Caenorhabditis elegans: one gene and its partner. The protein of the gene in region 1 interacts with the protein of each later gene in a biochemical or structural test. Each region holds a gene or a part of one and is shown in the gene's direction. Other genes may lie near its edges.

Region 1 (5,918 bases):
TCGAAAAAGCATTGAATGTTAAGTTTTTGTTTCAACTCAATCATTGTCGTCAACTCGTTCATATTACTGGTTGATAAATTTTCATTTGGACCACCAAAAATTTCCACACATTTGCATTTATTGAACATTGGATGACTTAGTGTTGGCCGATAATCGCCGAATAACTTCTCATGGCTGATCAGTAAATCGAGGTTTTCAACAAAAAAATAATTGGTCAATAGAATTCAAAATTTCGATCAACTGATTCGGTTGGTCGTAGCTCATTGTATTGAATTTTTTAAATTTCGAATAGTCACTGAAAAAATTACAGTTTTATATGGCGATGCATGAGAATTGTTTCAGTAGAGTTTTATTTACTTGGGGTTTATATTAATTGAAGATTAAAAAACGATCTCGACTTAAGTGCTATGCACTGCGGAACTGAGAGTCAGGTACACTGCCTGGTCATCACTACCGACTGAGCAACCCCTCCGGTCTAAAATTTTTGAACTACCGTGAAATGTTAAAACATGGTTAGGTAAAAACTTTTTGAAAGTTTTCAAATGTTTAAGGTCATTCAGACTAAACAAATCACACATGTTTGAGAAAAAACTAGCAGAAAAATCAAAAAATTACCAAAACGTAGAGATGCAAAAGTTGGTAATGCTGATTGAAAAAAGGTTTGGATATCTTAAAGTCAGTAGTTTACCAGACTTAAAAGGATAATACATGTCTTCTGAAGTCTCTATAGCAATCACTTTGCTTGAAAATAAATCACTAGGATTTCGGAATGGTGGTAGATCAACATGGAAAACACGGTTGTCGATAAGAAGTTTGTAGATTTTTCGATTAATTTTTTTTAAATCTACATCTGGTTTCACCAGAATTTTTTGATAGTTCTATTCTGAAAACAATAGACATTTAGATAATTAAAACCTACTTCAACTCACACTTCAGTCAACTTCAATTGATGTATAATATTCCGAAATGCAGGATACGGTAAACCAAGTAGGTGAAAGGGTTGAATCTAAAAAATCAATAAAATTAAACGAAAAACTGTAAAATACATATGTTCTTGCCTTGTTTGACGGGGTCCTGATACCTCGACGTTTAAAAAATCTCAGACAAATAAATGAGGAGAGTTGTGAAATAAAGGAGCTCATACCAAATGGTAACTCAAATATGTAATCGAAAAAAAAAAACACTGAGCAGACTAACGGAGCAGGCGAGCGTCTAAATGGTATAATCGATACATAGAAAGTGGTTATAAATCCTCCAAGTGTGTGACATCATACATTGTGCACAATGTAGCAGTAGCTATAGTAGCAGGAAATTAGTAACATTAGATCTATCCTGTTTGAAAGCATCAATGTCGATGAGTTGTTTTTTAAATTAAAAAACCATCGAGAATAATTTGAAAAATAAAATATGAATAATCTGAAGTCCCAAGGAATACCAAATTTCTACTTGAAGATTCTCAGTTTTTGTAACTTTTTAGAAGTCTTCGATCAAAAAAAATCCTTTGAATAGACATTTTTTCATATTTTTATGAATTAATAATGTTAAGAATCCTTATTAGTTTGGGATATCCAAACATTTTTTAAAATTTATGTTAAAAAACAAAAGATTTCAATGTTCTATATAAAGCAGTTTTTATTACTTTCCAGGTACTTAGTATTCCTATATTAAAATAATTTTAAAAAATTTCAAAACTCTGCACAAATCCGTTTTTGGAGCTATTTTAACGACCCTTTACATCTCGTTTTCAGGAATTCAGGATTATGTTCCGCCGTTTCTTTTAAAAAGTTTGAGATAAAAAATTATTTTAGTTTTGATTTTTCGCTTACAGGTTTTCTAATTAACATCTCCTTTACTGCCTATTATCCTGTTTCTTTTTATAAATTTATTCTTCTCATTTATTATTCAGTGATTATCCAATATTTTAGAGAATTAACTATCAATCCAATTGTTCCTCAAAACTCCATAGTCTTGGATAGTCTTGAAAACTGATCGATACCATGCAAACGGTGTGTGTTGTTTTGTTGATTCCCTGCCGCATTTGAACTATTTTTTCACCGCGCGCACGCATCGCCCCTGTCCGTCTCGCCACACACTATTTCCGCGCGCTCTTTCTCTACCTCTCACACTCTCTCAATCTCCCTAACTCAAGTGTTCATTCTTGTTGCGTGGTCCCACCGGTTTGCATTTTTTCATCTCTGTCTTTCTTTTTCGTTGTATTTTTTTAAATTTCATTTATTTCAATATTTCATTAAGTTTTGATTTTTGCAGGTATGAGTTCCTCAAAACCTTACCCAAGCGGTCTGCCAAACTCGAGAAGAAAAAGAGGAGGTGAGAGTTTTTTGCATCAATTTTTCATTCAATTTGTAAATTCAGGTCGCCGCTCAAGTAGTCGTAGCAATCAGGAAAGTGCATCCAACAACATGGAACACCAAATCACTCTTGACGAATTGTTCAATCCGATCGCAAAACAAGACAGTGCTCAGTCAACAAGCCGTGAATATGGTGCAAAATCGGGGATATCTCATCACGGATCCGTATCATTCAACGGGAATACATTCATGAATGGCCAACAGCTGAATCACTCGATGACTCGACATGGTCGAGTATTCAATCAGTCGATGCATGCAGCTCAAGGAAACGGCAGCAACGCCTTTAACAGTATTCCTCCTACGGCCCCCGTCTTCTCTGCAGACTTCCGCCGCAACTTGCAAACACGCAATAGCTCCAGCTGGTATGAACGAAGATTCCCAGTATCCACAGATCAGGACGACGTTCAGCAATCAAACACAAGACGTAGTAGAAGTCGTCAGAATGGACAACATGGCCTAAGCTTCTCGGATGGTTCGAACAATTATGGTCACGCTGGGAATAAGTCATTCAGTGTGAGTTCCGTTCCCGTTGGGTTCCAGAAGCAAGAAAATAATTCTAAGAAACTGCGACAAACCAATGTTCACCAGCAATGTCTTGGAAATAAAAGCTTCAACGCTCAAGCTGGAGTTCATGGACACGCTTTTAAAAAAGGCCATAAGGACAATAAAAATGCATCTGGAAAGGAGGTTATCAATTCTAGTCTTGTCCAAAAGCACGATGCTATTAAGTCGCGGAATTTGAACCAGAGCTTCTCTGGATTTCCTACACATGAAACCTCATCGATGAAAAATCAACAACAGAAATCAAGAAACGACAGAAAAAAATCACGTGGTAGCAGCAACTTCCAGGATCGTACTTACTTCAACACAAATGACGATGAATTAACTGACGATGTGTTCATAGACGATTCCATGGATGCTGCCCGTGGTCGGAGATCTCGATCAGTCACTAAGAAACTTCAACAATCGACTTATTCAAAGCAGAATGCAGGCAGTAAACAATTGACTGAAAAATGCAAATCTTCTGAAGAAGCGGCTAAACGTAACCTGGTATCCAATGTATTCAGCAAGGACGGCACTGAACTCTCCATTGAACAGTTATTGGAAATTGTCAGCATGAAGATCGGACAACAGATTCACTTGCCTTCCAGCTCTCATGGAGAATGCAGCAATTTGAATCGGACATTACCAGCAAGTGATCTAAATTGCTCAATTGGTGAAGACTTTGACTCCAGTTTTGTGGATGCTAACAACCAAACCCTACCAGTGAGTCTTCCCAAGAAAACTTCACTGTCGATCAAGCGCCGTGGAAGTTCTCGTAGTGCCTCCCGTCTGGCCAGTCTTGATGTGACACTGGAAACTGTTGAAGAAGACGAGGAACCCACGCCAAGTCCACAGCCGAGTTCTCCTCCAAAGATCTCAAGAAGAAAGTGGACAGGAACTTTTGATGCCAACGTTGAGGAAATGAGACGTTTACTTCATGGGGACCCTGAGATGCCGAAATCTGCAAATCGTGCTTCCTCAAGGTATGTAGTGAAATAGTAAAATCTTTAGTAAAAATTTAAATTTCAGCAAGGATCAGATCAATCGGAACAATGTGGATGTAAAGAGAACACCTTCCTCGTCAATCATCCCAACTCCAAAGGCTTTGATCGGAGAAAGATGTCTGACATCATCCAGCAAGTTAGTTTTACACTTGGAGCTTCTTATTTCATTATATTTTTTACAGGTCTTCAAAGTTGAACAAGTCACTTGGCGTGGTTGATTCTAAAGCTACAAAATCACCAATGTATTCCGTCACAGTTTCTGGAAAAGAAACAGCTTCAGGAAAGCGAATTGCTCAAAAGTTGACTCCAAAGGTTGTGGCGCTGGAAAGGTATGACTTTACAAAAAACGAACAACATTTCCATATTTTCTTTTCCAGCTCTTACATTACCGGAATTCCAGTTTCCACGGATTGTAATGGTTGCCCAACTCCGAAGAGAAGTGGAATCAATTGTGAAATTCGTGCAGCTGAAGTATACAATCAAGCTGGGAAATGGCCCTTCGAAATCACCAGGTAAGGTCCAAGTTAATAAATCCGCTATCGATCAAGCATATGGAAAATAATGTACAAGCTGAAAAGATTGAGCTCAAAACTTGATTCAAATCCTGTAAAATTATTTTCTGAGTACAGTAAATTTCTTTCAGTGATCCGGCTCCACTTCCTTGTGAATCAGCCGATCGGATCGAATATCCTTCTCAAGATTGCACTCAAGATCCAGCTTCAACCTCGCCACCACCTCGCATTTCTGAAAGCTTGACAGCATTCCTGGAAGCTCAGCAAGACTTTAACGACTACATTGATACTAACTACAAAGAAAAGACACAACTCCTGAAAGTGAATTTGAATATTCACGGGATGTCACCTGAAAGATGGCTGTACTTGAATTATTTTTGCACCGAGACAATTCCAAGATTGGATGGTCCTTATGCCGATGGTAAGAAAGATAAGACATATTTAATCTTGAAAACTTTAATTTTTTCAGATCCAAGAGTTCCACCTGTGCGAAATATGTTCAGAAAATGGTTCCTCCGTTTTGCTGAAGCCTGCTTAGGAAATCCTCACCAGCTTGCAGTTATGCAAGAGATTGCTGCCACGTTTGTTCAGGCTCGGCTGGACGATACGAGCAGCTCCACAGACTCCACCAATATGCTCTACATGTTGTGGAAGGAGTGTATCGGACAGAAGAATATCATCGCAATTGCTGATGCGTGTTTACTTGCACATCTTCGGAAATCGGATCCTATCAAATACTTGAATGTAAAACGGGATTGGCTGGAATCTATTTTTGACCCACCCAGAGATCAATGATTGTACCAATTTATATCTATTACTTGTAGACTATATTGTATGTTATTCTTGTTCATTAACCCTTTATCCACTCTTGTTATATTTCAACTCGCTTCTCCTTGTGAATTTGTATTATGTCTACCCAGATACTTGTAGAGGGTAGTATTATATTGTTGTCTGGATGATTGATAAAGAATTGCCGATTCTTTAAGATTTGGAGTGGAACTAGAATAAAAGAAAAGTTCGAAATAGATTTAAGAAAAGATGATTGGTAACTGATTTGAAAATATACATATCTTCTCATAGATCTTTTTTGTGAAATTTAAATACTGTCATTAGGCAAAATAGTAGTCACGGATTCAATTTTAAAACAGATGCTTCAGATTTGTTTGGAAAAGTTCCGTTTTTTAATACAGGGTGGGCCATAATTATGCGCACTACTTTGAAGCTTCATAAAACCAAAACAAAAAACACATTAAACAAATAATCATATAGGTTTTGTTCTCCGAGAAAAACTAAATAAGATACCATTTTTGAATTCGAAAATATCACCGTCCGCATTGCTACAGGCCTTCACAAGTTTCGGAAACGCACCAACGATGGCGGACAAGTAGGCACGCTTCAGGGTTTTTCATGTTTTTCTCGGAGGACTCATTAGTTATCAAGTAAAATTTAAAGTTCAAAGAATGCTCTTGATTCAGAGATGCTTCACACAA
Region 2 (5,077 bases), on another chromosome or scaffold:
ATTTAAATGACGATTTGAATGGTAAATGTCCAACTGAAAAATCTCTCAGAACTTTAAATGCCTGTATTTATATCAATTCGAGAGTAATTTCTATCGATTGTTGGCTTAATTTGTTGCTAAACTATTCATCTTTAAGATTCTGAAAAGAAAATTCAATTTCATAAAGAACCGAGAAAGTTATGCGTGATTTAGTCAAGTGCCCTCAAGTTTCGCGCCATTTCGCATTCGGCGCCAAACAAGATGTGTCCCGACAGGGTGGTAGAGCGCGAGTATATAAGGATGGCGCGCGCTCATTTCTCACACTCACTCTCCAAGTGACCACTACTCATCCGTTCAACAATGTCTGACGTCGCCGTTGCCGCCGACACCACCGAAACTCCAGCAGCCCCAACGAAAGCTTCAAAAGCTACGAAGGCTTCAAAAGCTACGAAGGCTTCAAAAGCTACGAAGGCCAAGACTACCAAGGTGCCAATGGTCAAGGCCGATGCCGCCCATCCACCATTCATCAATATGGTCACCGAAGCCATCAGCAGCATCAAGGACCGCAAAGGACCTTCCAGAGCCGCAATTCTCAAGTATATCACTACAAAATACACGCTTGGAGATCAGGCTAACAAGGTATGTGTTTTATTTAAAGCAGAAAAGCTAAATTCAAATCAATTTTTCTGAAAAATTTTGACCAGGTTTTTGATTACAATAACTTCATTTTTAACCTAAAAATTCTTAAAATAATAAATTGCCGAACAGAAAAGCAGAAAAAAAACTATGTAGAGATGACGTTCCCTAAATTTACCTTTCTTTCAGATCAACGCTCACCTCCGCAAAGCTCTTAACAAGGGGCTTGAAAGTAACGCCTTCGTCCAGGCTAGCGGAAATGGAGCCAACGGACGGTTCCGTCTTGCCGAGAAGACAGCCTCCGTGGCCAAGTCGCCAGCTGCAGCAAAGAAGGACGCCACTGGAGAGAAGAAGGCTACGACGACCGTCGCCAAGAAGGCCGCCACTGGAGAGAAGAAGGCTACGACGACCGTCGCCAAGAAGGCCGCCACTGGAGAGAAGAAGGCTACGACGACCGTCGCCAAGAAGGCCGCCGCTGGAGACAAGGCCAAGAAGACTGAAGTCAAGGTGAAGAAGGTCAAGTCGCCGAAGAAGATCGCCAAGTCTCCAGTCAACAAGGTCACCAAGTCTCCAGTCAAGAAGATCGCCAAGTCTTCATCCATGAAAGCCGCTCCAAAGAAGGCCGCTGCCAAGCCAGCCAAGAAAGCTCCCGCCGCCGCCCCAGAGGCCTAATCACATTGTGTGAATAATCAAATTAATTTCGATCTCACCATTGTATTATATCTCTCCCTCTTGTAGGTGTCCCAGATACTGGTTTTTTTGCATCTAATCATTATTTATTGTTCCTTTGACAAACCAATTCCTATCAATGAACCAATTACTGCATAAAGTTTCAGCGTTTTCTCGTCTTTTCAAAACCTTTCAGATTTTCGGAACAGTGTTCACAGCGGGAAAAGATAGATAAAGTCCCGGAACATCTAGCAGACAGTCTTCTTCACCGTTTGGAAATTTTTGTTGTTTTCCTTCTGGAAAAATTGTATATCAAGTTCATTCGACTGATCAAGCTCGATTTCTTAAAATACACAACTTATCGGCTTAACTTGCAATTTTTGCAATATTCAGATCTTTTTTCAAATAAAGCAACAAATTCTGTTTAAATTTACTCGCAATATTTCGAATTCGGTAATGAAAAGTACTTTCAGAGAACTTTCTAGATTTTTTTTTGAAAAACTGATTTAATTTTTAAAGGCGCACGCCTTTTCCCACGCGATGGGTCCCGACTGGAAAAGCCTCCACGAACTTTTCGATGATTTAGAAGTCAATTTTTTTAAAAAGTTTTTTGTGTGTTTTTGCTCGAAGTTTCTTATTTTCAATCATCATTTGGTGAATTTAAACATTTTACACGTAAAATTTCAGTGTTATTCGTGATTAAAAAGTTCACATGGAAGCAAACAAACGACAAATTGTGGAGGTCGATGGGATTAAGTCCTACTTTTTCCCCCATCTCGCCCATTACCTCGCGAGCAATGACGAGCTGTTGGTCAACAACATAGCACAGGTTTGACTGTAACTATTGGGATTTTTGTTAAATATTCTTCTTACAGGCGAACAAGCTTGCAGCTTTCGTCTTGGGAGCCACCGACAAACGCCCAAGCAATGAAGAAATTGCGGAGATGATCCTGCCAAATGACTCCAGTGCCTACGTGCTTGCTGCTGGCATGGACGTTTGCCTTATTCTCGGGGATGACTTCGTTGGTTTAATTCCGAAATGTTCTTGTATTAATAATTCATTTCAGCGACCAAAGTTCGATTCTGGCGCTGAGAAGCTGAGTCAGCTTGGACAAGCTCATGATTTGGCTCCAATCATCGATGATGAAAAGAAAATCTCGATGCTCGCCCGAAAAACAAAGCTAAAGAAGTCGAATGACGCCAAGATTCTGCAAGTCTTGCTCAAAGTTCTCGGTGCGGAAGAAGCGGAAGAGAAGTTTGTCGAGCTCTCGGAACTGTCGAGCGCCTTGGATCTTGATTTCGACGTCTATGTCTTGGCAAAACTGCTTGGATTTGCATCGGAGGAGCTCCAGGAAGAAATTGAAATCATCCGTGACAACGTCACAGATGCGTTTGAGGCCTGCAAGCCGTTGTTGAAGAAGCTGATGTAGGTTATCATGATTTAATGTTGTGTGTCTCAGGAGTGTTTTTCAGGATCGAGGGACCGAAGATTGATTCTGTGGACCCATTCACCCAACTTCTGTTAACTCCACAAGAAGAATCTATCGAAAAAGCTGTATCCCACATCGTTGCTCGCTTCGAAGAAGCCAGCGCCGTCGAGGATGATGAATCACTCGTCCTGAAATCTCAGCTAGGATATCAATTGATTTTCCTCGTCGTTCGCTCACTTGCTGATGGAAAGCGTGATGCTTCCAGGACAATCCAATCGTTGATGCCGTCGAGTGTCCGAGCGGAAGTGTTTCCCGGATTGCAACGGAGTGTTTTCAAAAGTGCCGTGTTCCTCGCAAGCCATATCATTCAAGTCTTTTTGGGATGTTAGTTACAAAGATTGCAAACTTCTTTGAACAGTTTCTTTTTCAGCCATGAAGTCATTCGAGGATTGGGCGTTTGTTGGCCTCGCTGAAGACTTGGAGAGCACGTGGAGAAGAAGAGCAATCGCTGAATTGCTGAAAAAGTTCAGAATCTCTGTTCTCGAGCAGTGCTTTTCTCAACCAATCCCACTGGTAAAATTATTCCTTCACGTGAACTTATAATCAATATTTTCCTTTTTCAGCTCCCTCAAAGCGAGTTGAACAACGAAACTGTCATCGAGAATGTGAATAATGCTCTCCAATTTGCATTGTGGATCACAGAGTTCTACGGATCGGAGAGTGAGAAGAAATCACTCAATCAGCTTCAATTCCTAAGCCCAAAATCCAAGAATCTTCTTGTTGATAGCTTCAAAAGTAAGCAAAAAGGCTTCTTATTTTAATCGAATAAATTTTACAGAGTTCGCCCAAGGACTGGATTCTAAAGATCACGTGAATCGTATCATTGAATCTCTGGAGAAGAGCAGTTCGTCGGAACCTTCTGCAACTGCAAAACAGACCACAACTTCCAATGGACCGACCACCGTCTCTACTGCAGCTCAAGTAGTAACTGTTGAAAAGATGCCATTCAGTCGTCAAACGATTCCATGTGAAGGAACAGACTTGGCGAATGTGCTCAATTCTGCAAAGATCATCGGAGAAAGTGTTACCGTGGCTGCCCATGATGTCATTCCGGAGAAACTAAATGCGGAGAAGAATGACAATACTCCATCAACTGCCTCACCTGTTCAATTTTCTAGCGATGGTTGGGATTCTCCGACAAAATCTGTTGCTCTGCCACCGGTAACAATTTTTTAAATTTATTTTGTATTTAATATAATAACCGATTTTCAGAAGATCTCGACTTTGGAGGAAGAACAAGAAGAAGATACAACGATCACCAAGGTTTCTCCGCAACCACAAGAACGAACTGGAACCGCATGGGGATCAGGCGATGCGACTCCAGTGCCTCTTGCTACTCCGGTTAACGAATACAAAGTTAGTGGGTTCGGCGCTGCGCCAGTCGCTTCGGGATTCGGACAGTTTGCCAGCAGCAACGGAACGTCTGGAAGAGGCTCTTATGGAGGTGGTCGCGGTGGCGATCGTGGAGGAAGAGGAGCATACGGTGGCGATCGTGGACGTGGAGGTTCCGGAGATGGATCTCGTGGATATCGTGGTGGTGATCGAGGAGGACGCGGAAGTTACGGCGAAGGATCTCGTGGTTACCAGGGAGGACGTGCCGGATTCTTTGGTGGATCCCGTGGAGGTTCCTAAGCCTTCAAATTTCAACGTTTTATTGGTTGTATATTTTGAATATGTACTGATTACGTATTCACAAGTTTTAGGTTCTCTTTTTTCTAAATGATGTAAAATTTCCCAAATCATGTTTTATTTATTGAACCCCGTTTTATTGTGATCCAAGTAAATGTTTGTACTTCTATAGGAATCAGATGAATTTCGCTTTCAGACTTAAAAGTAATGCGTGGGATAATTAGTGATGTCATCATTGTAAATAGTCGTGGTGTCTCTAATCTGGACAATTCGTGTGTGATATCAAGGAATTGCTGATCGAATTAAAGGTACGGTAGCTACCGTTCTAGGATGGTGCAGCCTACCGAATGTACATATTTAGTTTGATGAGGAAACAATTTGCAATGATTAAAACGCCTTTCCGAAATAAATATGGTGCTCGGTCTCGAAACGATAAACTTTCATTGATTGTGAAAAGGTGCGCGCCTTTAAGGATTACTGTAGTCTCAAACTTTCGTTGCTTTAAGACTTACACTTTCCGATGGAAAAATCAAAGACGTCATTACATTTCTAGTTTTTTTTCCAATTAATCTGTTGAAAGTTATTACGGGAACACAAAATTACGAGAAAGCGTATTTTCGCAACACATTTGACGCGCAAAATATCTCGTAGCGAAAACTACAGTATTTCCTTAA

Evidence for each region.
Region 2: the proteins of meg-3 (region 1) and pgl-3 form a complex in vitro, tested with the Caenorhabditis elegans proteins (one study listed by BioGRID).

Annotation. Positions count from the first base shown.
Region 1 is NC_003284.9:1,985,958-1,991,875, reverse strand, and holds meg-3 (uncharacterized protein), read left to right. Parts: upstream 1-2,268; 5' UTR 2,269-2,270; coding exon 2,271-2,328; intron 2,329-2,373; coding exon 2,374-3,895; intron 3,896-3,941; coding exon 3,942-4,052; intron 4,053-4,098; coding exon 4,099-4,245; intron 4,246-4,293; coding exon 4,294-4,428; intron 4,429-4,559; coding exon 4,560-4,849; intron 4,850-4,897; coding exon 4,898-5,223; 3' UTR 5,224-5,407; downstream 5,408-5,918. Other genes in the region: Y40A1A.2 (F-box domain-containing protein), read right to left, coding at 829-883, 930-1,006, 1,059-1,142.
Region 2 is NC_003283.11:4,754,014-4,759,090, forward strand, and holds pgl-3 (Guanyl-specific ribonuclease pgl-3), read left to right. Parts: upstream 1-1,971; 5' UTR 1,972-1,996; coding exon 1,997-2,113; intron 2,114-2,159; coding exon 2,160-2,306; coding exon of another isoform or gene 2,307-2,310; intron 2,311-2,351; coding exon 2,352-2,710; intron 2,711-2,757; coding exon 2,758-3,098; intron 3,099-3,144; coding exon 3,145-3,287; intron 3,288-3,337; coding exon 3,338-3,509; intron 3,510-3,552; coding exon 3,553-3,935; intron 3,936-3,986; coding exon 3,987-4,406; 3' UTR 4,407-4,571; downstream 4,572-5,077. Other genes in the region: hil-4 (Histone H1.4), read left to right, coding at 340-618, 805-1,287. UniProt on the Caenorhabditis elegans protein: Guanyl-specific endoribonuclease which cleaves the phosphodiester bond in single-stranded RNA between the 3'-guanylic residue and the 5'-OH residue of adjacent nucleotide, resulting in the formation of a corresponding 2',3'-cyclic phosphate intermediate.